4 linked regions of the Macaca fascicularis genome follow. The protein of the gene in region 1 interacts with the protein of each later gene in a pairwise test. Links are inferred from orthologs where the notes say so. Each region holds a gene or a part of one and is shown on either strand. Other genes may lie near its edges. The genes, in order: VENTX, TBX22, TBX15 and RBPMS.

Evidence for each region.
Region 2: the proteins of VENTX (region 1) and TBX22 interact in binary tests that used the Homo sapiens proteins (3 or more experiments, as listed by UniProt). The two-hybrid records come from large-scale screens. The link is inferred for Macaca fascicularis from reciprocal best matches to the Homo sapiens genes VENTX and TBX22.
Region 3: the proteins of VENTX (region 1) and TBX15 interact in binary tests that used the Homo sapiens proteins (3 or more experiments, as listed by UniProt). The two-hybrid records come from large-scale screens. The link is inferred for Macaca fascicularis from reciprocal best matches to the Homo sapiens genes VENTX and TBX15.
Region 4: the proteins of VENTX (region 1) and RBPMS interact in binary tests that used the Homo sapiens proteins (3 or more experiments, as listed by UniProt). The two-hybrid records come from large-scale screens. The link is inferred for Macaca fascicularis from reciprocal best matches to the Homo sapiens genes VENTX and RBPMS.

The regions. Positions count from the first base shown.
Region 1 is NC_088383.1:142,306,645-142,314,418, reverse strand, and holds VENTX (homeobox protein VENTX), read right to left. Parts: upstream 4,994-7,774; 5' UTR 4,565-4,993; coding exon 4,324-4,564; intron 3,078-4,323; exon of another isoform or gene 2,921-3,077; coding exon of another isoform or gene 2,881-2,920; intron 2,766-2,880; coding exon 2,605-2,765; intron 2,524-2,604; coding exon 2,143-2,523; 3' UTR 721-2,142; downstream 1-720. UniProt on the Homo sapiens protein: May be involved in ventralization.
Region 2 is NC_088395.1:86,616,802-86,623,782, reverse strand, and holds the end of TBX22 (T-box transcription factor TBX22), read right to left. Parts: coding exon 6,964-6,981; intron 6,586-6,963; coding exon 6,521-6,585; intron 5,976-6,520; coding exon 5,890-5,975; intron 3,425-5,889; coding exon 2,814-3,424; 3' UTR 2,126-2,813; downstream 1-2,125. UniProt on the Homo sapiens protein: Probable transcriptional regulator involved in developmental processes. This is major determinant crucial to palatogenesis.
Region 3 is NC_088375.1:115,505,084-115,512,072, forward strand, and holds part of TBX15 (T-box transcription factor TBX15), read left to right. Parts: intron 1-943; coding exon 944-1,045; intron 1,046-2,728; coding exon 2,729-2,900; intron 2,901-3,946; coding exon 3,947-4,114; intron 4,115-6,989. UniProt on the Homo sapiens protein: Probable transcriptional regulator involved in the development of the skeleton of the limb, vertebral column and head. Acts by controlling the number of mesenchymal precursor cells and chondrocytes.
Region 4 is NC_088382.1:33,581,748-33,589,535, reverse strand, and holds the start of RBPMS (RNA-binding protein with multiple splicing), read right to left. Parts: upstream 4,279-7,788; 5' UTR 3,718-4,278; coding exon 3,652-3,717; intron 2,259-3,651; exon of another isoform or gene 2,216-2,258; coding exon of another isoform or gene 2,213-2,215; intron 1-2,212. Other genes in the region: uncharacterized protein, read left to right, coding at 4,291-5,052.

The sequences.
Region 1 (7,774 bases):
CAGTCAGAGGACCCCAGGGGAGAGGGGGAAACGGGCTTCAGGGATGCGAGGAAGGCCCTGTCATCTAGTGACGCAGCAGGTGGGTGGAGGAGGGCTTGGGGGCATCTTGGTCTTCAAGGTCCACTCAGATACCAGCAGCCCATGGGGCCTGGGCCAAGTCCCTGCAGCCCCGGATGGGGAACAGGGAGGGAAGTTTGGAAATCACTGGTGGCAGAGCCTTCCCTGGGCCTGAGGGCCTTGTGGACCCCCCGGAACTCAGGGTCTAGGCCCCTGCTGGGCACTTGGAACCCGCTCCACTCCTCAGCCTCCGGGACTTTGTCCTTTTCCAGAGCTCCTCACCTGCAGGATGGAGCCAGGGCCCTAAGAAGGTCCAGGTGTGGCTCTGAACAGGCCCAGCTCTGCCCCAATGGGCTGTCCCCCTTGTAGGGCCCAGTGTGCTGACAGGACGTCAAGACAACACCGGGCCAGGGCCCTTACTCACCGGGGGAGTTCAGGGCCAAGACTGTGTGGTTTGCGGCCCGGGGCCACACAGGGGACCGGAGAGCAATCCCCAAGGGCGGCGAGGGGCACTTGTACTTTTATCACGGATGTGCCCCCATCCACATCCACAAATCAGTGCTGCCCAGGCCCCACCAGGAGCCCCTGTCCAGCCACTGCCCTCCGAGGGCCTCGCCCAGGCTTCCCTCACGTGGTCACTCACCAGGACGGACGCACAGCAGCTGTTCTCCTCTTACCTGGTGTATTATAAAATCACATCCAGCTGTAAACACTTCCAACAAGGCAGAAGCGAGCAAGGGGAAAGTGGAACTCGCTGTGGACGCGGCCGCAGGACCACGCTTCTGCTCCCGTTGGGGTGCCCGGGTGGGTTTCACAGGTCGCAGTCCTGCAGGCTGAACCTGTCGCCTGGGCGCCCCGCACTGCCTGCCCCCGGGCACTCTGAGGCGACGTGGACGGATGCTCACTTGTCTAAGTTTCCACACATGCAGTCAGAAGTCTGCACCAAGAATGGTCCATCGATGGGGGAGTTCTCCCCGGGAGGGGCTTCCCAGCCTCCCATTCTGGGCACTCCCAGACCTTCTGCAGGAAGTGCTGTCCTTGAGTCATTCTGTTTTGTCCCGAGGCTGCTGTGAGGAGGCGGCAGGTGAGCTGGTGCTGGAGGGCGGGGACCTGCGGGACAGCTTCAGTCCAGGCACAGCCGCAGGTCCCAGCTGCCCCACCTTCCCCGGCTGGAGAAGAGCCCCCAGCAGGCCGTGGGCAGTCCCGGCTCACGCACCGCCCAGAGCACACTGCAGGACCCCAGCATCCCCGCCTTCATTTTCACCTGTTCCCTCCTGCTTTCCAGCTTTGGAGTTCTTGTTAAGAGGGACTTGAACCACAAGGCTGTAAACACGACACCTGCATTCCCTTCCAATCCTTCCTGGTTTTCTTTTTTACACACAAAGCTTACCACCTTTACTGTTTCCAACTGGAAAACCAGTTTTTCCAACACTTTTTAAAAAACAAACGATCCTTTTATCGTACGCTGAAAGCCCTACCCATGACAAGCCCACTTCTGCATCTGACTCTGTTCACTGACCCTTCATTTACTTCCTAAACCGACCCTTTCGGTAACTTTCAGTGAAGAGGTGGCTTTAATAAATATATTCTCAGGGCCGGGAGTGGTGGCTCACGCCTGTAATCCCAGCACTTTGGGAGGCCAAGGCGGGCGGATCACGAGGTCAGGAGTTCAAGACAAGCCTGGATAACATGGTGAAATCCCGTTTCTACTAAAAATAGAAAAAATTAGCTGGGCGTGGTGGCGTGCGTCTGTAATCCCAGCTACTCAGGAGGCTGAGGCTGGAGAATCGCTTGAACCCGGAAGGTGGAGGTTGCAGTGAGCCAAGATCACGCCACTGCACTCCAGCCTGGGCGACAGAGCGAGACTCTGTCTTTAAAAAAAAATACATATATATACACATATACATATATATAGAGATAGATAGATACATACATATATATCTATTCTCCAGAAATCTCCAGAATCTTTGTGTGGTCAGGGTGAGAGGCGCCACCACGATGTAAACACAACAGCTGAGTCCTCCAGGTAGGAGCCAGGTGCAATCCGCAAGACTGTGAGCGTGGGAGAGAGTCAGAGGTGCCTCCTCAAAAGGCATCCCCTGTCTCCGGCAGAGCGCACAGGCCCCAGGGCCCCGTGGACAGGGCTGGTCCCGGTGCAGGCAGGCCACTTCCTGTGGTTGGGGGGTGGTGCGCCAGAGGTTGCCTGCAGCAGGAAGCCCCCGTACAGGCCAGGGCCTCCTGTTCCACTTGGCAGAGACCCCAGAAGGAGCCCGGGGGCAGCATCAGAGCCTGGGGCCCAGGCAGGGGTGCCCAAGGGCACAGCAGCTGCAGGCCATTGGCAAGGCCAGAAGACGGTGAGTGGAAAGCTGGGGGCACGTGGAGAGACCCCAGGAAGGGGCTGTTCGGCGGGACTTCTTGCATTTGCCGTTTGTGTTTCATCCGGCGATTCTGAAACCAGGTTTTTATCTGCAGGAAAACCAAAATCAGAGCAGGGGTGAGACTAGGCCACCGGCCCACCCTTGCCCACCTCAGCCCGGCCCGCCTCACCTGGACCTCTGAGAGCTGCATCTCCCTGGCCAGCCTCTTCCGCTCAAGAGGGCTCAGGTACTGGTGGTGCTGGAAGACGCCCTCCAAGGTGCGGACCTGGTCCGTGGTGAAGGCTGTGCGGACACGGGGGCCCCGCAAGGTATTTGGCTCCTTACTCAACCCTGGCATAGAGGGTGAGAGCATTTGGCTGAGCCTGCCACCCCATGGGGCAAGCCCCGCCCACAGGTAACAGGTGAAGACAGCATGTTGGGGGCTGGGCAGGGCAGATCTTCTCACCTGACAGTGACCAGCAGCCCTGCCGCAGCCTCCAGGTCATGTGCGTGCGGAAAGGGGCTGAGAGAGGTGACTCAGGGGAGGGAGAATGCTACCAGCAGCTTGGGCCTGCCCTCCGCTCGGCTGGCTCAGCTCACTCAGTTCGGCCCCATCCCACACTTCCCTTCCGAAGCCGGTTCCCAGGATACCCTTTCTGCAGACTTCCAGGCAGGTAAGGTAGAGTCCATTACATGCAAAGGCCTGGGGACCCACCCAGGGAACTCGGTCCCTGTCCTGGGCTCCGGCTCCTCAGCCAGCAGAGCCCGGCTCAGTTAATCCCCAGGCCCACCTTGGTCAAGTCTGTTTTCTAATTTCTAAGTTAAGGAATGGGGGCTGGCACTAAACAACCCCACAAGGTGGTGTGTGTCTGGGTCCCAGGAAGGAGGCCAACGTGGCGAAACGAGCTCAACATTTAACTCAAGTCTGACCCAAATGCTCACTGGAGTTTCTGCGGAAGGAAGCGTATTTTACAAAATCTGTCTTCACGTTAGCCTGAAAGCACATGGGAGACCCGAAAAGCAAATGCCTTGTGGCGGGGAGGGCTGTAGGACTGGGATCAGGAAGGGGGTTGGGGGACAGGAATGGTTGACTTTTTTGGGGTGGGGCAGGATAGCTAGCTGGGAAGAACATATTTAAATTTTCATTTCCCTGAAGTACAAAGTTACTCCATGAGGATCAGTCAAATTTTTAAAAATGAAAACTTATGTTAACCCCACTTTTGACCAAGTACTACCTTAAACCTAAAAGCGGCAACGATGTCACAAAGACTAAAACACAAACGCGGAGAACCTTTGTTCTCAGCAGACAACAGAGCATCTCCGGGCCACAGACCGAACTTCAGAGTTTCTGCAGGCACCGGGTCACCGCCGCCCTACAGCAAACCTGCAGGCTCTTTAAAAGACAGCTGTGCTCCAGGTGGCCTGGAAGGGGCTTGAGCCTAGATGCTGAGCAGGCACTGGCTTTGCTGGGGGCAGAGGGGGCTTGGCAAATCGTCGGACCCCTGGAACTGGGTCTCGATGGTTGCGGGGCTGGAACACTAGGGGCACAGGTGCCCACGCCCGCGCTGTGTTTCAGTGAGCGCCCGGAATCAGGGCAGAGAGGTGCGGACAGGGACCCCTTGGACGGTCCCTCGGCACCAGGCCGCGGTGGGACACAGCTGAGGAACGGGGTGCCAAGGGAGGCAGAGGAGCCCACCGAGGGCTCAAGGAGAGAAAATCCCCGTCAAGGCTTTGGTTTCGAGGGAAGCTGCGCTCCAGTGAGGCGCAGGCAAGGCCTCCGCCGGCCCTCATGGACACGTCCCCGGCCCTGTCCTCGTCCGCCCCGTACCGCGGGGAGTTCAGCCGCCGGGCTCCTGGCCTCTCCCCCACTCCCATCTCCACCTGGGAAGGACCCCCGGCCCGGACCTACCAGCCACGGTCCTCTCCGGCGCAGGCAGATCTGAGGACGTGGCGGCCTCCTTGATGCTGATGGCCTGAGGGGGCTCCCGGGCGCCGGATATCTGGCCCGGGCCAGGGAGGCTCCCCGGGGAGACGTCGGCAGGCCTGGGCGAGGGGGTCAACCCTGAGCAGCTGCTCTGGGAGAGCCAGTCCACAGAGCCAAAGCTGGAGGGCTGCTGCTGGCCACGAGGTGGGGAGGAGGAGAGGCGCATGGCGGCCAGGTGGGCCGGAGGGAAGGCCGGGCGGGGCTGGCCAGGCGCAGGATCCACCTCCGGCCTCGCCGGGCGGCGGCGTTTATAAGCCCGGGAGGAGGGGGCGGGAGCCCGGTTTGCATACACGGCTAACGCCCGGATAAGCAGCGCCTAATTGCCTTCGATTCAGAGACACAAAGGAGACCGTTCACACCTCCCCGGCTCCTCGGTGTCTGGGGCAGGGGCGGGGCTGCGGGCCCTGGTTAATGGAGAGGGGACGGTTCGGCATCGGTCACCTCCTTTCATCTCTCCCAACCCCCACCCCGCGGGCCGAGGCTGCTGGAAGGTAGGAGGGTCCCGCTCCCACTCGGGCCTGCCCTGGGCGGTGCCGGGCGACCTCTCCTCTCCAGGGGGACGCTGGCGCCTGTGCCCAGCCCGGACACCCGAGGGCGAGCAGGCTTCAGGCTGGGAGAGTCAGGGCGGACTCAGCCGGTGCCCGCGTGCGCTGCGTCCAGGCTGTGCGGTCGCGCAGGAACCGAGGGACGCTTTCCGGGAAAGACGCGGAGGGCTCGGGGAGCGGCGCGCGGGGACGGCAATGTCGGGAGGGGCCTCTCGGGGCACTCGTCCGCTTCCAGCCCTACTCCGGCTCCTCTGGGGGACTCACTCCCGGGGCCATCGCAGCAGCCTCCGCATGCGGGCGCGGGCGGCTCCCTGACCCCATCCGGAGCTGGAAGGGCCGGAGCCACTGCCTCGCGCGGCGGGGTAGACACTCCGCTTCGGCTGCGGGACTGGCGCGTCCCCGCCAAGCCGGGCTGTCCCCACTGTGGCCAGGGCGGGGGCAGAGCCGCCGGGGACTGTGGAGCCCAAACCTCACGGGGACGCCTTGAGCACGGGCTCCCGGGACGGTCATCGCGACGCGCGGCCGCTGCTCCCACGAACCTTGGTCCCGAGTTGTTTGCGTCTCCGCGTCCTGGGCGTCCCCGGGTCGCCTGCGCCGTCGGGGTGGGGCGCGGGGCCGAAGTGGCCGGGTGGGAGGCAGCCACGCCGCGAGCGTTCCCTCCGGCCTCGGACCAGCTTCCCGCGCGCCGGGACACACGGACTCGCGTTGCGCCCACGCCGAGGGTAGGACGGTGTCTTCCGCGCACTGGCTTGGGGTCCACACTGCGTCTCCGGCGGCCGGGGTTAGGCGCGGGCGCAGGTCCGAAGCCATGCGGGGTTTCGGCGCAGACGGGGTCCAGGGAGCAGCCCCGACTCCCGGCCGGGTCCTGACCGCGGTTGCCTCAGCGCCCACCCCGCTCTCCGAAATCAGAAAGACCCGCGGGCCTCGCCCCACGGTTACGCCCAACCCGGCTATCCGCGCCTCCCGGGCTGAGAAAAGAGGGAGGAGCCCGGGAGGGGGGCGCTGGGGCGGGACCTCACGGGGAACAGGTGGGTCACAGGTGACGGGGTCGGGGAACGGACTGCGCCGCTGCTGACCCTGGTCTTCCTCGGACCCTGCCGACCCAGTTAGGCCACCGGGCCCTCAAGGGGGAGGCTGGCAGGGGTGGGGCGCTGGGGGCTTTGGACGTGGCCTCGGGGGTAAAACCAGGAGGGCTGGGGGGCCAGGAAGGCGGCCTAGACCCCGTCCCCACTTCATCTCCGGAAAGACCGGGTCACCCCCGGGAGAGGGGATTTGAAGCCACTGCCCAGGACCAGCAGAGTGTTCCGGCCAGGGGCAGCGAGGGCCCAGATGCCTACGGCCACAGGGCTGGCCCCGAGGATGCCCCATGAGGCAGGTACCCAGCCCTCCCGCAGTGGGGGCGGCCCTGCCACCTGGGAGCAGAGGCCCTGAGGGTGGGGGCTGCGGCGGGGCGGTGCCTCAAAGTGGAGCAAAACGCAGCACACCCTCACCTCCCACCCCGCCCCCCAAACACACACACAGAACTTTCGACAGGCAGGGAAAAGGCCCAGAAGCATCCCTTACATAAAGAGGAAACCACTAGCATGGGTTTGTGAAACGCCAGCACCCAGCCTTCCACGTCTCCATCTCTAATTTCCAGGGGCCCGGCCCCGAGGTCTCAGCCACCTTCTGCACGTGGTTCAGCTCCCCTCGCCGGCCCCAGCTCTGCATAGAGCTCCTCCTGCCAGTTTCCCAGCTCCCCCGCACCACCTCCACCTGAACCGCCCCTCCTCACCTTCACACAGCAGGGCCAGACAGCCCCTCGTCCTGGGCCCCCACCCCAGCCCCTTGCTGCGGCTTGGGTGGCCCCTCTCCCCTGGCAAGCGGCCCCACCGCCGTGGCTCAGGCTCCCCCGACTCCTGCAGCCCGGGCCTCTGCCTCCACCCTCCCTCCAGGGCCCGCGGAGGCTGCTCTGGCCCAGGTCTGGGGTCACCAGAGCCTCCGCCTCGGAGCCTCCGTCCGCCCCCAGCTCTGGGACGCGTCCTGATGCGCCGCCATGGGTAGGAGACTTGGGCGCTCCTCCGCCTCCTTCCTCCCAGCCCCTGGGGCAGCCCAGCCCCGAGAATTGCGCCCCGCACGCCGCACAGGGTGGTCCCCGCGGGCGTCGCCCCATTCCCCACCCTCGGGGTCCAGGCCGGGTTGCGCTGGGCAAGGAAGTCCCGCGTCACTCCCAGGCTGGCAGCCCCGCCCCCACGCACAGCCCGGAGCCCAACTAGTCCCCGAAACGGGCTCCCCCCGAGTCCACGGCCTGAGGACAAGCACCGGACCTAGCGTGTGCTGCCGCCGGGTCCAGACCGCCCTGCTCCCTCCGGCCCCGTCACGACTCGCCCAAGCCTCCTCCGAGCACTCTGAGACCACCTGAAGGGGAGGCCCCAATCCCTCCCCAACACCCACCCCCGCGGCCTCGGCCTCACTGACACCCTCACGTGCCCTCTTCCCCGTCCCCAACACCCTCCCGCTTCCTGCTCTCCTGGGACAGCCGTGCTCCCCACTCCCTGAGACATCCTACGCTTCCCCTTCCGCGACACCCACCCTCTTCACCCTCCCCTAGACATCCACGCTCTCCTCTAGACACCCCCACACCCCGCTCCCCGTCACCCCCACGTGCCCCCTCCCCGATACCCCCACGCCCCCACCTCCATGTGCCCCTCTCCCCCACACCCCCATGCTCCATCCCCCTACACATCCTCGGGCCCCTCTCCCCGACACCCCCACGCCCCCTGCCCTACACATCCACCGCCCCACTCCCCAACACCCCCACGCTCCCGCTCCCCCTCCCCTACACTTCCAGG
Region 2 (6,981 bases), on another chromosome or scaffold:
AGGAAAATAAAACTCCTCATTTTCAAGCACAATGAATAGGAGCAATGACATTATGTGAGTTTGGAGGCTCTAAAATTATGTAGTTATATATGATACTTCAAAATGTAATTTCCAGAGGGCTTAACCCCTCTGTATGGTGAAAAGAAATAATGGCATTAGAGTTTGATGTCTAAATTACATTACCTAAAGCTATATATTGGTCTTTAAAGTACAATGAATAGAGAATTTATCTACTTAGATATGTGTTTTGTAACCAGGCTCATACTTTAAGTCCTTATTTCAGCTGACTGATTGTTCCATAAAATAATACCTTCCTGACCAGAGAATCTGACTACAGGTCTGAGCTTGACTGGGGACTGTGAAAGGGTAAAGTACCATTCATTTATTTTCTGACTCAACGTACAAATTTTATAGTTAATGAAATGCTTTCTTTCCCTATATTTATTTGTGGTAAGTCATATAACCAGGTCAGGTTAAGAATCAGATTTTACAAATTTAGTGAGCTGAATTAAGGAGGAATATAAAAAGAAGTGGTTCCCATATATATATGGTCAAATCAGATGGAAATAGAGGTTTTAATTGTTAGATATTGGGGTCTATTAAGTATCATTTGGTCACTTTTATAGGCTATTACACACTTAGTCCAACAAAAGTGGCTTTGGATTTTTGTAGATTTCTAAAGCAAGTCTAACGTTAAGTTGATGCAGGTGAAAATGATAGAATTACATATCATTTTGTTTTTCATTTCATAACCATAGCATCAATTTACCCAGTTACTCGAGTTTTGCACCATCCATTGAGGAGTAAGAATTTATTAAACAGAAAATAGTTGAAGACACTAAATATTTACTGTGCATGAATTAGAGCTGTTAGAAGATTTCTGCAAATGAGTCACTTGCTCAGAAGCAGGGGATTGCTTACTGAATCTCTTCAGGTTTCTTCCAAGTCTAATTATCTGTGAAGGTTTTTCCTTGTTTACTTCTTCAATTAAAAGTTCAAAATGACAATTTATGAATATTATTTAATGTAACAACATAAATGTTTCCTTCTTGTATTTAAACGTTTGCCCCTTTATGTTAATCACCATTACCAATGTAATCACATATTACTAGTTTATATGAGTAACATATAGTCATATTATCTGACACATACAGCATTGGGTATATGTATTCTGGAGAAGCTCCAAAATTAATCCCTTCTTTTAAATAGTCACTAAAAAGTAACCCAGATATTTCTTTGATTTTTCAGTTAAATACTTTTTCTTGCCAATTACTGAGGTTCTGCCATGTAGACCTCCGAATGTTTCATTTATAATCTGATATAAGGGTTTCTGCTTAAAAAGTAACAATCCATTTTACTAATTAAAGTCAGCCTTTAGCTTTCCTGTTTGGGAGTAGTCAAAAATAAAATGTCTTTTCTTATTTTAATTTCTGGTTTAATAAACCTGGGTGGTATACATTTTATTCCTTAAAGACTTTTGCAACAGTATCTAATTACATTAGATCGCAAATAATACTTCATCTTGACTAGAATACTTAATTTGAATGCAATCATGTGGCATCCTATCCCTACTCCCAGGAGTGAATGGCACATAGTTTTAATACATATATAGGAAGGCACATTTATAAGGCATATTTGGGATGAAATAATCATTTTAAGCAAAATAATTGATATGCTCTTCTTTATATGTGTTGGAAAAATCAGAAAAATCAGTTAGCAGTTTGCTTAGTTTGTCAAAAGTCAAGTAATTCCATTGTGATATTAAAGGGCTTGGCTTAATAAAATGTCTAGAGTTACTAGCATAAACTCAGTATCTGATTCATCTTAAAGATATGCTGGCTATGTATAGGTTATACCTCATAATTATTTTCAGAAATTTAGGGCCTGGTGAAAGGAATCTTTTCAACTTCATAAACTCAAATATTATTCCACTTTTGTTTAGCTTAATTCACTATGATTGACATACAAGAGTGGAGTTAAATCATACCAGAATAATGATATTTTCATATTTATGGATTCAAATATATTTTCCCTCTTATAATCATAATGTCTTTATCTTCTTAGAGAACTATAATAATATGTTTTTCTAATATTGTGTAAAATACCAGATGTGTTAAAGGAATACATGAACAAGTTTTATCTAGGATTTATCCAAAAATAAAAGAAAATAAAAGCAAATTTATTAGAGTGTTTTACTTTTCATTTGATCTTTGTGTTCCTTCTAGATCAAATGGTCTTTAGGCTACAAAGATAAATAAAATATAATACTTAAAAGTTTGTGTCCTTATTTGTATCTTAAATTGAGATTAGCAGTTTCTTCAACAGCAAAGTATAAAGGCATAAGGCAAACAAGTAATTAAATTTTTTTCTACAACTACTAGATAATGACACTAAAGCCAATCTTCATTGTTAAAACTGAAATTGCTTCACTGCTTGCATGAGTTACATCCTTCTTCTTTTTGTCATTGTCAATGTGTAAAATGCAGTTATCATGGTGAACTAGCTTCACTATAATTGAAAATCCTATCGCTTAGCATCAATTTTCAGTGGTGGAGTATCATCAAATAATATTTATTGCATAGCTCATTTTGAAGCTCAAGGCCACTGTAATCAGAGATTCCTATACGTTGCATTTGACATTATAAACAGCTCTTCGTGAATATTGATAAGGCACTTTAAATCTTTAAATGCATAACAAAGAAATACTTATTGTAATGATGCTTTTCAAGACCAATAACTGTTGAAATTTCTTTGGCTACAAATAAAGAAAATATTTGTTTTCATGTAATTGTTCTAGAAATGCTATTGTTTTACTAAAGGTAATGGTTAATTGCTGGATACCAATGAATATGATTACATTTGCCTTCTCTAAAAGAAACTTGACTGTCGTCATTCACTTTAAGATGGTTGGAATCATTTATCAGTCTAGACGGCATAGAGAAATTGTATCTATAAAAGCCATAGGAAGGATGAAAGGAGCAACTAAGTGCTTCTTGGGTGATGGAGTTTGACAGCAAAATACTTCCAGGTGCCTGTAATCCATACAACATTTGACTGGTAGAATCAGGTGCTTGTAGATACTGATCACCGGAGTCTTCAGATGAACCACTTTTTGAATTGGTGACCCCCAGGGAAGATAACATAGGCACTTCCATCATGAGTGGGGCTAAAGACTGAGAACTGTTGCTGCTTGCTAGTCTTTCAGGAGCCGGTAAAACAAGAGGTTGCTGTTGCCAAAAATTAGTTGGACAAATCTTGCAGCAAAGAGGCAGGTTGACATTGTGCAGGTATGCCTCTGGACAGGGCATTCCAAGGGAACTTGTAGGTAAATGAAACATAGGTGAAAAGCAAGGTGGAGAAAGTAAGTTCAAAGGAGAGGGGGCCCCTCCACTAGAGGTCACTGGAGATGAGCCACTGCTTCCACCTGTGAATGACAATTCAGTCAATGAATAATGAATTTGACATTTGATGTTCCTGCTATATTAGTAATCATACCCATCACTATCCCTGCTTCATCCTTAGATTAACTTTCCTTGTGAGTTCACAGTTCTTTTAGCTTCTTTGAGACAGGACCTGCTCATTCCTCTGACCAAAGTTCAATGTAGTATCTATACCAGGTATCCCTAATGCCTGGGCTACCCACTGGAACAGGTCTGTGGCCTGTTATGAATCTGGCTGGACAGCAGGAGATGATCAGCAGGCCAGTGAGCATTACCTTACTGCCTGAGCTCTGCCTCCTGTCAGATCAGTGGCAGCATTAGATTCTCATAGGAGCGCACACTCTATTGTGAACTGTGCATGTGAGGGATCTAGGTTGAGTGCTCTTTAATGATAATGTAATGCCTGATGATCTGAGGTGGAACAGTTTCATTCTGAAACCATCGCCTCCCAACTCCCACTGTTCATGGAAAAATTGTCTTGGCCCCTGGTACCAAAAAGATTGGGGACCACTGATCTATAATACTACCACTATTACTTTTAGCACTACTACTATGTATCATGTATTAAGCATTCATTTGCTCAAATATTGTGCTAGGCACTTGAATCACATTTGTCCAAAGAATTACAAAGAAATCCAATTATGACTCGGAGTCAATTATATCTTACCAACACAAACTAGTTTTATTATTTTAAAAATTAAAATATTTACATAATAAATAATTTTTAGTAATCTTAAAAAAATACTAAAATAAGTACTTAAGATGAACAAATTGATTGGTTGTTTTGGATTATGTAGATTTAATTTATAGATAGAATGCATAGATTTCATGTACACTGATTTTTTAAATTCTTCTGACCAAAGGTATACTGATTTTAAAAATTCCTCTGACCAAAGTTATAATGATTTAAAAAATTCCTCTGACCACTGATTTAAAAATCAGTGTACATGAAAATAGTCTTGTATAAATGAAAGCAATATATTTAAAAGCCTTAGCTTTTTTTCTAATACAAAACAATGAATGGGGCAATTTCCATACTGCATTGTATCTTAAGAGTTGGAAACAATTTTGCAAGTTAAGAAACATAAAGATGAATGTAAGTATTCATATCAATGATGTTTGGTGATCTTTTATGTTTGCCTAGCTCTACTAAAACTAGGGATAATTACAAGGTCCAGGAAACTCTAAACCTTATTTTTGTAAATGTCTGAATTCAAACAATTGGTTATTGGCTGGATTTGACCAAGTTGTTTCTTTTTTTAGTGTTGCTGTTTTCTTAACTATTTTTGTGTATGTAGACATATCCTAAACCTTCATCAACAAGATTGCAAATATATTTTATAATAAAGCATTTAAAAGTTATTTAAGAAACTAGTAACTCATTTGCAATTTGAGAGCATTTTGGATATCTTAAATAATTAAGAAAACTGTGTACTTTAACATTTCATGATCATCTTTAACTTTTTCTTTATTAATGCGCATTTGTTTTGACTTGGATATTTTAAAAGTATGCTTCCTAGATGCTACTGGTTAAATCGACACTGTAAAATAAGTGTTTATATATTTTTCATGCGATTCCCTAAACCATATCGAGACAATCATCCAGTGAAATATTTCACCAAATGATTAGACTTCACTTCTTCCCTTTTCAGTTAGTCATTATGGCATCATGTAAAACTCAACCTAACTATAATGTTGATTTTGCTTGGTAGTTGTAACCTTGAATTAATGGTCAAAGTCAAGCAACTCCGATGGAGTAAAGATAAAGGGATAAAAAAAATCCATGTCATTTTCAAGTAAAAATTATTCTGTTTATTATTAACTATCAGAGCAAATTAAGGTATTCTTCCACCAGAAAGTCTGCATTATTTAATTGTTATTACTTTGTCATGTAATGTACCATCTGAGAATAAATATCTTGCAAATATTTTTAAATGCTTGTGGCAATTAAATTGTGAAGACTTAGTATTATTTTTAACATTTACTTTCCCCATGGACAAAAAAGAGGAAAATTAGAGCTAAGTGATGAATTTAATGAAAGTTATTTTAACGTGTACTGAAAGGTCCTCATAAAAGATAAACTATTCATTTCAATAGTAACATATCTGCAAATCAGGCTACAAATGCACCACAGGCATATCCTAAAGAACGTGAGATAGTGAGAGGCTGAAGAATCCAGATGAAATCTGAAAATCACAGGGTGTAAGATAACTTACTAACATATCTCAATAAGTCCACAATTACCACATTTCTATTCTCTTCCTTTATGCCAGCTTCTCTCCCTTTATGCCTCTTACCTCATCATTCAGGCAGAGGTACACCCACTTACCTGTAAGTACACATTTTCTTGCATGTACATATCCCTTTGTATAGTATTTGGTACAAGTGTTCTGGATGTTGTTATTTAATTAATATGTAAAAATAAAACAAATGTTCCAAGTTTTCTTACTTTGTGTGTCTGCGCCAAACGTTTTAAAATCGAGAGTGAAAGAAGGCCTCCATGGGTAGGTCTCTAAAAGCCCATCCAATACACCCCTAAAAAAGAGAGTCAACTTTCAGCATCCCCAGAATGCAATTTCTGAACATAATGATTTTGAGTTATTTGGCTATGTCTTTTAGATGTAACTATTTTAAATATTTCTCTTTTATACAGCTAGACTTCTGAATAAAATTCAGTTAAACCTAGAATTCTAAAATAAGCAAGATCTTAATACTGAGTAGCAAAGGAGTGGGAGGAAGTAATGTTTTAGACACAAAACATCTGGGTTCCTTTTCTACCACCTACTAATTACAAAATTTAGAGCGTTTGAGTCTCTGAGCCAGTTTTCTTATCCTTAAAACTTGTGGGGGGCCGGGCGTGGTGGCTCACGCCTGTAATCCCAGCTACTTGGGAGGCTGAGGCAAGTGAATCACTTGAACCCTGGAGGCGGAGGTTGCAGTGAGCCAAGATCGCGCCATTGCACTCCAGCCTGGACAGCAGAGTAAGACTCCATCTCAGAAAAAAAAAATAAAAATAAAAATAAAAACTTGTGAAAATAGCTAGCTACATCAATATTAGATGTCATTGCTATGCTGCTTACCTGTTTCTTCCAGTATCTCTAAATCCTTTAGCAAAAGGATTTCTTTCTATTTTTAGTTTCGTAATCTATGGATTCAATAGAGAGAGAAAGATAATATCATTGCTTTCAGTGAGAACACTGTCACCGTTGCTTATAGTGGTTACAACCACCAGAAAAGATGTTGCAACATGTAATATGACAATTTAAATAAATGTAACCATATTGCAAGTCATATTTAGAATGGTTAGCTCCTATTTAAAAATCATTACTTTTATAAATTACATTCTGGAGTTGCCTTCTCACATAAGATTTACACAATTCATTATCAAACTTGCATGGATGACAATTCAATAAAACTATGATTTTTATTTAGAATTGTGGAAAATGCAACTGATTGCAGTTAGCCTCTATCCCAAGGTCCCTCTGGAGCCATTTCCATTTGCCTGAGACATGACCAGCTTTACCTGTTGGTTTTGGTAAGC
Region 3 (6,989 bases), on another chromosome or scaffold:
AGTTGAAAATATTTTATGGTAACTTGCAATAAACTGAAAAGCTCTTTGGATTATAAGAAGAGTGTAAGTTGCTGTACTAACCTTTAAAAAGATTATAGCTATACCTGATGCAAATGATGAGTTGATGGGTGCTGACGAGTTGATGGGTGTAGCACACCAACATGGCACAAGTATACATATGTAACAAACCTGCACGTTGTGCACATGTACCCTAGAACTTAAAGTATATATAAAAAAGAAAAGATTATAGCTAATAGGAAATGTATGTCTGGCTACACACATCCACACACATGCCTATGTATACATGTATATCACAACAAAGATTAACTAAAAATACAAAGCAGGGTTGAACCCTTGGAGAGTATGAATCATCAAATAGGTCAATTTAAGTTAAGAAGAGATACTAGTTCAGTAGTATAAGTCTCCAGTATATTTTGTAGTGATAATTTCCAAAGTGAAAAAAATTGGCCAACTTTGAGAATTAGAGGACATTAGAATTTGATGTGCTTAGAGTATCTAATAAGAATACATTGTTTAGGCCGGGCACATTGGCTCACACCTGTAATCTCAGCACTTTGGGAGGCCGAGGCGGGCAGATCACGAGGTCAGGAGTTTGAGACCAGCCTGACCAATATGGTGAAACCCCGTCTCTACTAAACATACACATACACACACACAAATTAGCTGAGCATGGTGGCTCATGCCTGTAGTCCCAGCTACTCGGGAAGCTAAGGCAGAAGAATCACTTGAACCCGGGAGGTGGAGGTTGCAGTGAGCCAAGATTGTGCCACTGCACTCCAGCCTGGGTGACAGAGCGAGACTCCATATCAAAAAACAGCAACAACAACAACAACAACAAAAACAAAAAACATTGTTTTAGCTTTTACCCCTGCTACTTCTCCCATTCTGATTTCTGAGCTTTCTGTTTTATTCATCTATATAGGAGGATGTTTCCTGCCATGAGAGTGAAAATCACTGGCCTAGATCCACATCAGCAGTACTACATAGCAATGGATATTGTGCCTGTGGACAATAAGAGATACAGGTAACAATAACTGGGATGTGGAAATGTGGGTACACCAGCATTCCAAGACAATTCTTCAAACTCCTTAGAGGAAATATTTTAACAATGCATACTGTACAGGGAACAAGGAATGGAGACTATGTCAATGGCCTGTGGCAGAGCACCAGGTGGAAAAAGTGTTAACTTTGACCTGGGATTCCCTGCTATGTCTCTGGATAGAATGGGACTGTATAGTGTCTCCCAAGGTAGCAAAAATCAAGTGGATCTTAAGTCTAAATTTAATTTAATTAATATTGGAAGTGATTAACATATTGAATAATTTGGTTTGTGAAATGCTAAATAAATTGGGGTGATTTATTTTGGAAAGAGGAAGGAGAGGTGGAACAATAAAGCATATTAAAATGTATATTTGATGGATTACCCCATAGATGATGGAGAGGAAGAACAGGAGAACTGGGTAAAATTTCAGGAAGAATATCTACTTAGGGAGAATTATTATTCATTGATATGGGTTGTGAGTGAGATTGTTAAGTAATTTTCCCTCAAACTGATTAAAAGCCAATGTAATCTCCATGTCTCTTGGATGGCTTATACATAGTTCTTGCCAGAAAAAAAAGTTGTGGCTTATTTGTTCTCTTGAGGTCTCACTCAAATCAGTAAATCATTACTCATTTTTGAAATATCTAAAGTCTAAGAACTTGGCCCTAAACCAATGAATAGGGAGGCAAGTGTTGATGAAAAAGGCCAGGACTAGTATTTCAAGCAGGGAGAGAGCTGGCTGAGAGAGACACGGTCTGACTTTCAGCACTTAGGAGAAAAGATGCTTCCAGCTTGTTTTAGGGAATCTTGGGAGCTGTGATTTGGACTGGGTGCCTCTATTTCTCAGGGTCCAGGTCCCATGTGGTCCTTTAGAACTGAGAAGCAGGAAAGTGCCAGATCCATGAAGATGTTTCTTCTGAACTACAAGAAAATTGGCAAAGTTGGGAAAACTGACTTCCTTTGCTACCAAACGTCTTGTTTCCAGTGACTTTGTGGGAAAATAGTGTAGAAGATGATGTTCAAAACAGGTTCATCAAAGAAAATGTGAACTGCGAGTATTTGGTGGTGTTTCTGAAAAGGTTGCAGTGAGGCAAAGGCCCATCGTAGAAATTCCTCAAAGTCCAGATTCTTAGCAAGGAAATGGTTAACCAGTGAGAGACTTGGAAGGGCTCTGCACATGGCTGCATTTTATAGGACAATATGGAAGATGTTTTTAATAAGGAACAAAATCCTGAACAAATGGCCAAGGGATTATATGGTTTGCATTTGAAAGGTGAAAGGTTGCAGTAAAATGCCTTTTCTATAGCTAGACATGTGAGTTCAGGATGCCTGTGTGCACACAGGGGTGCATGGCATGGAGAGAGGGAAGAAAGGAAGAGGGCTGTGAGAATGTTTTCCTTGCGAGGGCTGTAGATTTGATCATTAACCACAACACTTCTCTGCCCTCCCCACTCCATCTTTTTGTCCATTTCTATCTCTATTTCGTTTCCCTGCTTATCTGCCCTTCTCTTTTCCTCCTTTGATTCTCTGTTTCTTTCCCATTACTTCTCCATTCCTGTAATCTCTTTGTTTTTCTCTCCTTTCCCCTGTCTCAACTTGTTTCCTGGACCTCTGTCCCTTCTCTGCCTCTGTCTCTGAATTTTCCTCTCTTTCTCTTTATCTCAGATATGTGTATCATAGCTCCAAGTGGATGGTGGCTGGCAATGCTGATTCCCCTGTGCCCCCAAGAGTTTATATACACCCCGATTCTCTGGCTTCTGGAGACACCTGGATGAGACAGGTGGTCAGTTTTGACAAACTCAAGCTCACCAACAATGAATTGGATGATCAAGGACATGTGAGTCAAAGAATCCTGTCTCCCCTTTCTTTCTCTCTTCCCCTGTTTGTTTTAGAGCTGGCTAGCCCCTGTCTTTTTCAAATAGGTAAAATAAGGAATCTCTGTGCCACTTTAAGTCATTTTAAGTAAGTAAGCATAAAAGTGTTTTTTTTTCCAGTTAAATTCCATTTATTACAAATCTAACATTTAGCAAACATCTGTTATACATCAAGTTGTGTTTATCAGACAAAGTCCTTGTGCTCCAGAGGCTTACAGTCTAGTCAAGGAGGCAAGACAGAAAAACAAGACAAATTAACCAGTGGTAAAAGAAATCACAACATTCAGTAGAATAACCCAAAGGCCATAAAACAAGAGAAACAAGTGAATGACAGTTTCAACTAATTTGTCAAGAATTTTTTTTTTATAGGGAAGACTAAATCTTAAGGTTTTCCAGGTATAACTGGAGCATGTGATACTATTAATATATCTTTGGCAGTGAAACATATATTGAATTTTCACTGAATGGCAGGACCCATACTGGGTGCTATGGGAAGATTGAATAAGTTAAAACCATTGCTTCCATCTTCAAGGAAATAACAATTTTCTGAAAGAGTGAAAACCCATATCTACCATTCACTCTCACATAACAAAATAATGTTCACATATTCAATAATGAATGCAAATAATAGAATGTAGAAATTTAAAGACAGCATGAATACATGCTGAAAATTTGAAGCTGGAGGGAATAACTAGTCACATGGCAGAGGTTCTGAGACCTTTTAGTGATATGTTGTCCATTGGTACTAGAGAAGTCATTCGGCATTATCCAATTGAAGCAAACATATTACTTTTACCATCCATGATAAGGATGTCCTGCTATTTGGTTCCATGTAATGCTATTTAATCGCTTAGTTCTTCCTGGCAAGTATACTGATTTCTAGTTTTCTGTACATCTCACCTCCACTCTGTCCTTTTCCTAGTGCTTCTACTTAGTGATTTATTTTGCATGAGAGCAAAATGTGGGTTCCTTAAAGCCAAGCCTGGTACAAGTCCCCTTTTTATTTCAGATCATTCTGCACTCTATGCACAAATACCAGCCTCGAGTTCATGTGATTCGCAAAGACTTCAGCAGCGACCTTTCACCCACTAAGCCTGTTCCTGTTGGGGATGGAGTGAAAACGTTCAACTTTCCTGAGACTGTGTTCACCACAGTTACAGCCTATCAGAACCAGCAGGTAAGAGGTGGCCCTTGAGAGTCTTCTGCTACATCTCTTTTAAAGGCAAGAAATGCTTAGTCCTGCATGGCACTGAAGAGTTAGTATGAGAGAAAAGAGTTTTTCAGTACACACAAGGCATTGGTGATAACAATATGGTAGTGCCTAGTAACAGCTTACACCATCTAGGTTTAGATCAGAGACAAGATCTTGACTGAGAAGACCAAACCTATTAAATTATTTTTATGTCTCTCTGTACTTGCACCTGTGTTCATGATGTCTACTACATCCTGGCAAATGATCCTCATCATTTGGAATTCCTTTGCAAGTACTGAGGTTTGAGTCATGCCTTCTCTCTTATACACAATTTTCTGTGTATCCTTCCACCAGGCTACATCAAAGTCATCAAGCTATTGTGGGTCTATTTAAGACTCACCACTTCCACTTACACTTTCAGATTAAATTTACTTCTGTGTGACCACCAGCCACATCATAAGATCTGTAAGTTTATATCTGTAATACATTCATTCATTCCATAAATATTTATTGAGAACATACTATGTTCCAAGTTTAACAGAGAAATAGAGCTGATTAAGATGTATTTTTTGTTCAAGAAAAGAAAAATTTTTGTTGAATGAAAGACGTGTAAATACATAATGATAGGAAAATGAATTAACTCAATAACAGAGATGTAGGCAGAATGTTTCTTGGTTTGTGGAATAAGGTAAGTTTTCCTGGAAGAGTTGACACTTTTCTGATGTACACACACACACACACACACACACACACACACACACACACACACTAGCCAGAAGAATGCAGGAGAAATATGTGTAGGAGAGGGGGAAGGAGAAGTCAAGTCTAGAATTACTGTGGGTATTCTAAACATGTTTTTTGTTTTTGTTTTTGTTTTTATATATTTTTTTTGGAGGAAGGTGGCTAGGTGGACTTATAAGTGGTCTCACTTTACACAACTCCCTAAAAGTTGCATAAGAATGCCATTTTTATTAATTGGATGATATTTAATTATTTGTCAAAATATGTAATTACAAAGACTCTGCAGTGAACCTTTCCAAAACAAAGAATTTTTTTGTTTATTTTGCTTGAAACTGTGCTTACTTTTATTTGGGGCCTATGGAAGCAAAGTGAGTGTACACTGTTATACTCAATACCTTTTGTGTTGGATACTCTGCTTCGTGCTCTAATAGTGAAAGCAATATATAGAAAAGCATTCATTTACTAATTCTTTATCAAGTGATTATTATGTGCCAGGCAGCTGAAGGTGAATTATGTAAGTATTGACTCAGATAAAAAGGGTATTTCTATCTTTCATGGTCCTTCTGCATAAGATTCCTTAGGTATTATTTACTTTCAGAGGAATTTGACATACAATAACCCTTAGTCCACTAAATGTTAAGTACTATACAGTGTTAGACTTCTCAGCAGCTGTAAAGTGTTTCCAACTTCAGATTTTCCTAGTGAATGCTACATTTCATCAAAAATAGAAGAAGAGCTTTAGTTTGGTTTGGGTGCTATTTAAGAAACTATTAAACTGTCTCAAATTCCTTAGATAGTAAAAATGCAGAAGCCATGGAGGATCCGTACAGAAAACTGTAATAATTAAGATTTTTCAAGCTCCGATACAAGATATAGCATCAATATAGACATGGACTTTGGAGCAACCAGAACTTTGGGATTAGTTCTGGCTCAGAAGAGGGGGAGTAAGAGTCTGAATTCTCTGGATAACTGATTAGACTTTTCTAAGAGTACTCCAGCCACCATTTAAAATAGTTAGTTTCTGATGAAGGCAGTGATGTCACAATAAATATTTCAACATCAGGATTTACTTTGTAGAACACTGAAGAACAAACATTCTACTGCCTTATTGAGATCAGTTATAGAGACCAGGAGAGCCAGTATTGTAACCCAAGTTGAAACTAGAAAGCTACAACTCACTTTGGCAATGAAAGAGGACCAAGCATGGATTTTTGACAGCCTCTTCACATCCTCTACCTTCTTTCACAGATAGTGTTCTAGCACATGAGTACATTCTATCATAGAAATATTTTGTTTACATCTGGGCTGAAGTGGGAGCAGGATACCATGGTTAAGATCATGAAATTTGGCAGCAGATAAACTAGGTTTGATTTCTGATCCTTTCATTGACACTGTGTGGCATTAATTCCTTTCAACTTGTGTTTCCGGTCTTGAAAATGCACCTACCTCATAGAGCTATGAGGACTACATAAGGGAACGTGTGTAAATTCACAGATACAAACCTGACATCTAATTAATAGTAGTCAGCCTACATTGCTCCTTGGCTGGGTCTGAACAGGCATGAAAAGTGGGGCATAGAAGCAATTTTAAAGAATAAATTGCTTATTAAGGAAAAAGTGCATTGTTGGAAATTGGAGGAGCTGCAATGGCTCTCAAAGGAATTATAATCCATAGGTAACTACTTTGATCTCTCTGTGGTCATGTCATATTGTTGAATTCATGATGTGCTGACATTCAAAATAGATGCGTCATACTCAATTCTGCCCATTTGGGATCAAGATGACAGCTTTTGCCTGTTTAACAAGCCTCTAATCCCTGGATAAATCAACAAGCATGCTTATTTAACATTCCCTTTGGCTGTGCAGATATGATTTAATATAATACAGTAACTTCTAGTAATACAAAATAACCTTGAGTCTTTCCCCCAGGGATCCTGAAGTTTGCATCCTGTAGGTCAGAGCTGTTACCTAACTATACTTTTCAGACTTGTTCTGAAGATGCCAGGTAGCATAAATTTTTCTCTTTTGTGAGCTATTTTCACCTATGACTGTGTTTTTATTCTTCATAACCTTCTGGAATGAGAACAATCAATACGGCAAAATTATTTACTTCATCTATT
Region 4 (7,788 bases), on another chromosome or scaffold:
ACATTACCCTCTCTGTAGCAACTGTAAGAAACAATTTTCTTTACAACCCCAATATTTTGGCAAAATTAGTAAACACTTTAAAAGAAGGAATGCAAAGTAAAGGTTTGCATTAACCTCTGAAGAACTGACTTTATATGATTTCTGCACATCTTTTTGATCAATATTCCAACACTTCCATGTTTTTTGCTTCTTTAGTTTTACTATAAGTACAAGTCAATTCAAAGCAATTTAAGGAGAAATTAACACCAGAGCTTCAATATAATAAAAGGCCTTTTAAAGATGTTTTATAATCGGCCTGAAAAGTACTCAATGACATGCATAAAAGTAGAAATAAAAACCAAATCACATATTTAATCTAAATTTCTATCTTGAAAATTCAGTGACCAACAAATAAGTTACTTCTAGCTATAAGACAGAAAAGGTCTTCATATATTTGAAAATACTTTAAACTCAAATTATAACTGATTAGCCAAGACAATTATGGATCTATTACTTATATATTAATTTTTATAAAGTCTGATTGCAAAATTAGAGAAATTCTAGGAATCATTTTATGAATTGTAAAATATAAGAAATGGTATGATACTCTAAACATATATAAACAAACCTTGTAAATGTGAGATTTTGACAACTGATTAGTCTTTACAGGACAACTTGCTTAGGGGACACACACGCATAATACATTTTACGTGTATTATACACGTATTTAATGTAATAATACATTAAAAACCAGAAAGCTAAATGTATCATCTCTCTTACACAACTGGCTAGCCAAATCCTAAAATTATTTTTCCTCAAAGTTTTCAATGCTATCTAAAGTAGAAGTATTAATACACGTTCTGCCCAAGTTCTCAAAAACGTCCAACCCTAAAAAGCTGCAAAAATTTTCCTAGATCCTGAACTGTTCATTCTATACAATTAGAACCAATTATTTCAGGGTAAGCATTAGAAACTCTCAAAAGCGCTAAAATACACTAGTTGATAAAAGGAATTCATTTCAAAACTAGAAACACAGAAAAAATCAAACCTGGATTCAATGTGGAGAAAGCCGAAACCACCCTCATGATCTGTGAAATAAACTATTTTCCCTTAATGACGATTGGACTCATTTTTCCATGTCAGTTCAATGGCCACCAGAAATTACAACAAAACACATTTTTCCTCTCTTGTCATTATGTGTGTGTGTGTGTGTGTGTGTGTGTATATATATATATATATATATATATGTTGTATGTGTGTGTTCTGTTTACCGGAGTCCACTGCCAAGGTTTTTAAATGTGTTTAAGAGCAAGTTGCTGATGCGATGGGTGGGCAGGGAAAGGGTCAATGTAGTGGTTTTGTGTAATGCCGGGCTCATTAATGGCACTTACCAAATACCCTATTTATTTTAATTGTGGCTTTCAGGGTTAGAAAGAAAAAAACCAAAAAAGAGGGTAAGAGTTTTTCAAGAACAAAATATAAACCAAAAATAGGAAATTAAGGCAAAATTACCCGGATCATTCAGGCCACCTTAGTTTCTTTTCCTGAATTTCTGACATTATAAACCCCCTCTCTTCACAGTCTTATCTGTTTTGTACACGACATCTCTTGGACAACTTAGGTTCTGAAATCTTCCTACCAGTCCCCTTATTTTTTACATAACAAGTGTTTTGCTAAAAATATCGATACTTTCTAGAGCCTCATGCCATTCCTACCTGAAAAAGAACACTGTCAGGTAACAGGACAAGTAAGAGGCAGCAACCATACTGCAATGGTCCGCGATTATACAGCAATTATTACACACAACCTCGCAAGGACAGAGGAGCGTCCAGGAACAGGGCAGGCAATCCCTCGGTGCTGGCAGCTGTTAAGATGGGTCAAGCGGAAAAATGTGCCTTTTCTATACTTAATTTTAAGTGGGTATGATTTTTAGGACATTGAACCTCTTTTGCTACCCACCAAAAGGAAAAAAAAAAAAAGTTTTCTCAACTGGGTAAATAAAGATGGTTTGATATAATATTCTAACCCTGAGAAGCAAACAGATTGCACATTTAGCTGAAATAGGAAGATTTCTGAAGCGATAATTATTTTGATATGGTAAGTGAATTAGTTAACTATAGTAATTCCTAAAAAAGCAAATTTAAAAAAGCATTATTTTTAAATTTTTTTAAGTGGTAGGGAAAATAAATAGCAAAGCAGCCAGTAAAGTTCAAGAAAAAAAGTTAGAACATACCATTCAACTCTCCATTGCTTTGAAAAAAGAAACGCCAGTAGCATTCCTACACTTGTAATTAGAAAACATGCATGTAAACAACTCTTCAAATAGTCTTTTATAATAAAATAGAAAATGTCCTCGGGTGAGAAAGCAATTTTTGACTGACTGCAACTCATCTAGGTTTTCACTACCATACAACTGGGTAAGAGAGTAAAATCTCCGATTTTGCACTGTTTGGCATAGTCTCGCTCCTCTACCTTCTCCACCTAAATAGTTCCCATTTTCCAAGTGGACAATGTGCAGAGAACTTGTATGCATTAATGAATTCCTCTGCAATTTTGGTTTCACTATCAGAATTGAAGTTTGCACACAACAGTGTCTCAACAATGATCTCAACGTCCTAACGCTTTAGAATCCGTTTACCTTCTGTGTTCACCTAGATCAGGATGCAATACCTGTGTGAATCTTTTCGGGTCATATTGAGACATGCACTTTCCTGCATCTGCACACACTCTCAAGTTCCTCTAGAATGTTAAGAACTCAACTGTGTGTGATATTAAAAAGTACGCCAGAAGTAATTTCTTGGACTCCAGATAATGTACCTGCAGAAACAGTCATTTGGTAGGATACCACAAATACCCTACTACTGAATTCTGAAACGTTTGTTCCTGAGTCCGACTCCCCTTCTGACCACATCTACTCAATTTTGTTTCCACCGAAGGAACGCTCCGCAGTCACAAAACTTTCATCGTGAGGACGCACCACCTAAAATGCGTGCTCAGAAGTCAAAGTCCTATAAAAGTATCCTCGATGAGCATTTGGTGAATTGCTGCGTTTTTAACCCTCTTATTCTGCTCCCCTCATCTGCACGGCCCTAAATTCGCAAGCGTTCACCGCCCAGGTTCGGGGTCTTTGACTCAGCAGAGAAGAATGTGGCTGATGAGTTATCTATTAATCCAAAAACCCTCGGCTAGAAAGATATTTCACCAAGAACTTTTAACACGGAAAGGGAGGGGGCAGGGAACAGAGGTATCTTTTAATGAAAACTTTTCCCCGAGTTTCTTCCTTAAACTGCCCCCCCGCTACCCCGAATCCACACACAATTTCCAGCCCCAGCCCTAAGTCCTGACCCTCCGAGTCCCGATATCTGAGGTCACCCAGGAGTCAGCTCTCGGTTCCACTTTTTAAATCCCGGGCAAACAAAGCTGAGCATTATACTTACAAAAGTCTCCGAAAAGTCCTTAGAGTTACGCAATTTGGGGCCCGCAGACGCGCGTGGACACAAAAACACACTTTCCCGAGATCCACCCTCCCCGGGCCACACTGCGGGGCTGCGTCCCGGGCACGGGCCATGCCTAAACCTTCCACCGCCGCGCCCCGGGCCCGCGCCCGCGCCCCGCCGGCCGCCCGCACTGGGTCCCGGATCGCCCCCGCCACTGCACCGAGCCGCCCAGTACCTCCTCCTCCTGAAGGTTGGCCTCGCTCGGGGTGTTCTCCTTCTCGGCTTTGCCGCCGTTGTTCATCTTCCCGGTCCTTCCTCGCCGGGCCGGGCAGGGCTGGGGCGCGGGGCTGGGCGAGGGCGCGCTCGCCCACTGTAGCCTTCCCCGGGCGCCGGGGCTCCCTCGGGCGGGCGCCGCGGGCTGCGGGGCTGGAGCTGGAGCCGGGGCAGTGGCTGTCGGGCTGGGGCTCCCGCGGCGAGACTGCGACGGCAGCGGCGGGCGACTCAGGAAGTACGAGGGAGAGACGGGGCAGGGCGCGGGCCGAGAGCGGGGCACCGAGACAATCGGGCCCCGGGAGGGCGACCTGGATAGGGAGGGCGGGAGCCAGGGGAGGAAGGAAGAAGGAAGGAAGGAAGCAAAGGATGGGGCGAGGACGCGCGTCCCAGGAGTAAGCGCAGAGAGTTGGGGCTGGGGGCTGCAGCCGCTGGAAGGAGGGGACGGGGGTGCCTAGAGAGGAGGAGGAGGAAGAGGAGGAGGAGGAAGAGGAGGAGGAGGAAGAGGAGGAGGAGCGGGGCGGAGAGGCGCGGGCGGCGGCTGGGACGCTGGGACCCGAGAGCCGCTGAGTGCGCGCTCCAGGCAGGCTCTGGGAAGTCCGGGATGGAAGCAGCTCCCTTTCTCTCGTCTTCCTCCCTCCCCTCTCCCCTCCCTCCTCTCCGCGCCTCTCCTCCTCCCTCCGCCCTCCCTGGACGTGGGCTGCCGGCTGCAGCCCGGAGGGACGGGGCGCGGGACGGAGCCCCCCGCGGGAGGAGGGGCCGGCGGCCGGATGGCGCGCGCCGGGGAGGGGCCGCGGGCCGCGGGCGGAAGCGGCGACCCCAGCCCCAGACTCGGCGGCTGGTCGGAGGGCGAGGGCCCTGGAGGCCGAGGGCAGGGGAGGTCGGGTACTGCAGTTCCCTCGGCCCCCGGGGGCCCCGGCGTCTGCGCGCCCCGGGACTTCGGGGACCCTGCCCCGCCGGGGCCAGGACCGGGAGCTGGGATGTGTGCGACTTTTGTTTGCCGGCTTTTACCATGGGATTTGCACCCCTGGCCCTAAGCCCACCCTTCCCGAGCCAGACCCGGTTCTTCCCCTGCTGTTTGAATGACAGGATGAGAACTCGAGGGACACCGGGGACAGCCCCCTCCGGGCCGGCTTTTTCAGGACAGGGCTTCAAACCCATCTCCAGCGCGGGTCCTGCGACGCGCCCGGAGCCTTCCCCGCTTCGCTGCCTGGGCGTCCCGCGGCCCCCGACTCCTCTCCCAACTCTCACCCGACTGTTCTGGGATTGTTTACTTGGCCTCTCCCTCACCCTTCAGAAAGCTCCTTCCTGGAAGAAAAAACCACAAACTTACCCTATTTATCTTTTTAATCCCACGGCTATTTAAACGAGCTACCGGGTGTATAGTAGGCACTCAATAAATATTTGTTGGCAAAGTGAATATTCCTCATTGCAGGCAGAGCTCGGGGTCCACACGGAGGAATTTCAGAGGCTGGAAGCACACTTGAAGAAGAAAGGGGGCCTGGGCTTTGCACCAACTTCAGGATTGCGTACTTGTTTCCTCATCCGTTAAATGGGAGCAGCTGAATGTGTCTCCTAGCGTTTTCGAGATTGTAGGTTGATAGAACTATGTACAGCACCCAGTATTCATTCTTGCTTCGTTTAGGTTTACAATACATGGAAGCTAACATTATTATTAAGGAAACTTCCATTTTTCCCGGGCCTTAGAAAGCTTTTCCAATACTCGATCGTTAAAGCCTCTGTTTTTTTTGTTTTTTTTTTTTTGTTTTTTTTAGAAAAATGAGGGTCTCACTTTGTTGCCCAGGCTGATCTCGAACTCCTGGCCTCAAGTGATCCTCCGGCTTTTGGCCTCCCAAACTGATGGAATTACTGTCTGGAACCACTGTGTTAAACTCTTAGATTTGACTGCTACAAATGTATAAATGTGGAACTCCATGTATCAGTGGGTTCTGCCCCACTTCTTACTCCCAGGAATTCTCCGTCCCAGCCTGCTGCTCCTGTCCTGCACCAGTAAGTTTCTAACTACAGTATTTGCTTAACTGTTTCTCCCCACCCCCCAGCAGACATTCTTTATACTGATTTAAGTGCTGCTGGGGATGGGGGGGGGGCGGCTGTGGGCGTTGCAGATAAGGACCCTCCCTTTAGGGAGTTTAAAGTAATACGGTGGCTCACGCTTGGAATCTCAGCACTTAGGGAGATAGAGGAAAGAGGATTGCTTGAGCCCAGAAGTTCAAGACCTGTCTGGGCAACATAGTGAGACCCTGTTCTCCACAAAGAGGGGAAAAAAAGAAAAGACAAAAAAATAAAGTGGTATGGAGCCAAGATACTCTCAGAATCCTCTTTCCGATTATAGAAAGCGAGGAAAATATTTGCTTTAAGGGCATTATGAGAAAAACAGTAGTGATACTTGGATTTACATACTGGGTTTATCTTGGGGGTTTGGAGATTTTGAAACAGGAAGATTTCCATAGGGAAAAGATGTTTTTTAATTGCTGTCATAATGTGATTTCTCTCTAAGGGGAACAAACATGTATCCTGGATGAAAATAAACCAAGTCTATTGAAATTGCAACCCAAGACATTCAGAAGAGACAAGGCTACAGTGAATCTGGAAAGTTTGCACGTGTTTGGATGTATTGATTGCCTTAACTGGCAGCCCTTTGCACTGCCAGCTTCTCCCTCAATTACATGAGGAACCACGAGGGGGCAATGTCTACCCGAGCAATAATAGGTGAGTGGTGGTCTTAGGACCCCGTGGTGGCCCATGATGCTAGCACTGTGTCTTTGGCCATTCTTGCCTGTTATGGAGCGTAGTCCACAGAAGGGCATGGTCTTCTTGGAGCCTGGCATGGGCCCAACAAAAATGACAATGTAGTCAATAGTTCCACTCAGACTTCACTTGGGAGCAGGTGGACTACGTTGTGTGATATCAGGATGCCTGGAGAACCTCTCCTATCCCCACCCAGAGAAGCATGGCTTAATTCCAAATAAAGAATCTGGTTCCTTTGTCTTTAAGCCAAGCCAGGACTTTGTCCATTGTTAAAAGTCAAAAATCTCTGGGATAAGAAACAAAAATAAGTTCCAGCCGGGGCACGGTGGCTCATGCCTGTAATCCCAGCACTTTGGGAGGCCAAGGTGGGCCGAATACATGAGGTCAGGAGTTCGAGACCAGCCTGGCTAACATGATGAAACCCCGGTTCTACTAAAAATACAAAAAAATTAGCTGGGTGTGGTGGCACACGCCTATAATAGCAGCTACTCGGGAGGCTGAGGCGGGAGAATTGCTTGAACCCGAGAGGCAGAGGTTGCAGTGAGCCAAGATTGCGCCATTGCACTCCAGCTTGGGCAACAAGAGTGAAACTCTGTCACAAAAAAACAAAAATAAGTTCCAGGAGAGGATCCTTATCTGGCTTATTCACTGTTGTATTCCCAGCATCTAGACAGTGCCCAACACATAGGAGGCACTCAGTTATTTTTTAATAAATGAGCATTTTAAGTCTGATGGGTTACTGATTCTTAGGCCTGAATGTTATCACCGGATTTTTCCAAGATCCAGCAGGAAGGACTACATCAGTGGAGATGTCTTAAAACAGGTAGTCACAGCAATGGCATTAGGCAGGGTCTTGGCAGTGTTTTTTTTTGTTTTTGTTTTTTTGTTTTTTTTCTGAGAGTCTCACTCTGTTGCCCAGGCAACATTGTTTAAGACAATGTCTCACCCAGGTGAGAATTGTTCAAGCAATTCTCCTGCCTCAGCCTCCCCAGTAGCTGGGACTACAGGTGCACACAACCACACCTGGCTAATGTTTTTGTATTTTTAGTAGAGGCAGGGTTTCCCCATGTTGGCCAGGCTGGTTGGTACTGAACTCCCAAACTCAGGTGATCCACCCGCCTCAGCCTCCCAAAATGCTGAGATTACAGACATGAGCCACCGGCCTAGCAGTGGTCTTTAGTCATGATTTTGCAGGGAGGACCCTAGATAGAGACCTTGTGCAGAATGGAACAACTGATAAGGTTTCAAACAGTAAAAGATAAAATCCCACCATTGAGGCCAGGTGCAGTGACTCATGCCTGTAATCCTAGTACTTTGGGAGGCTGAGGTGGGC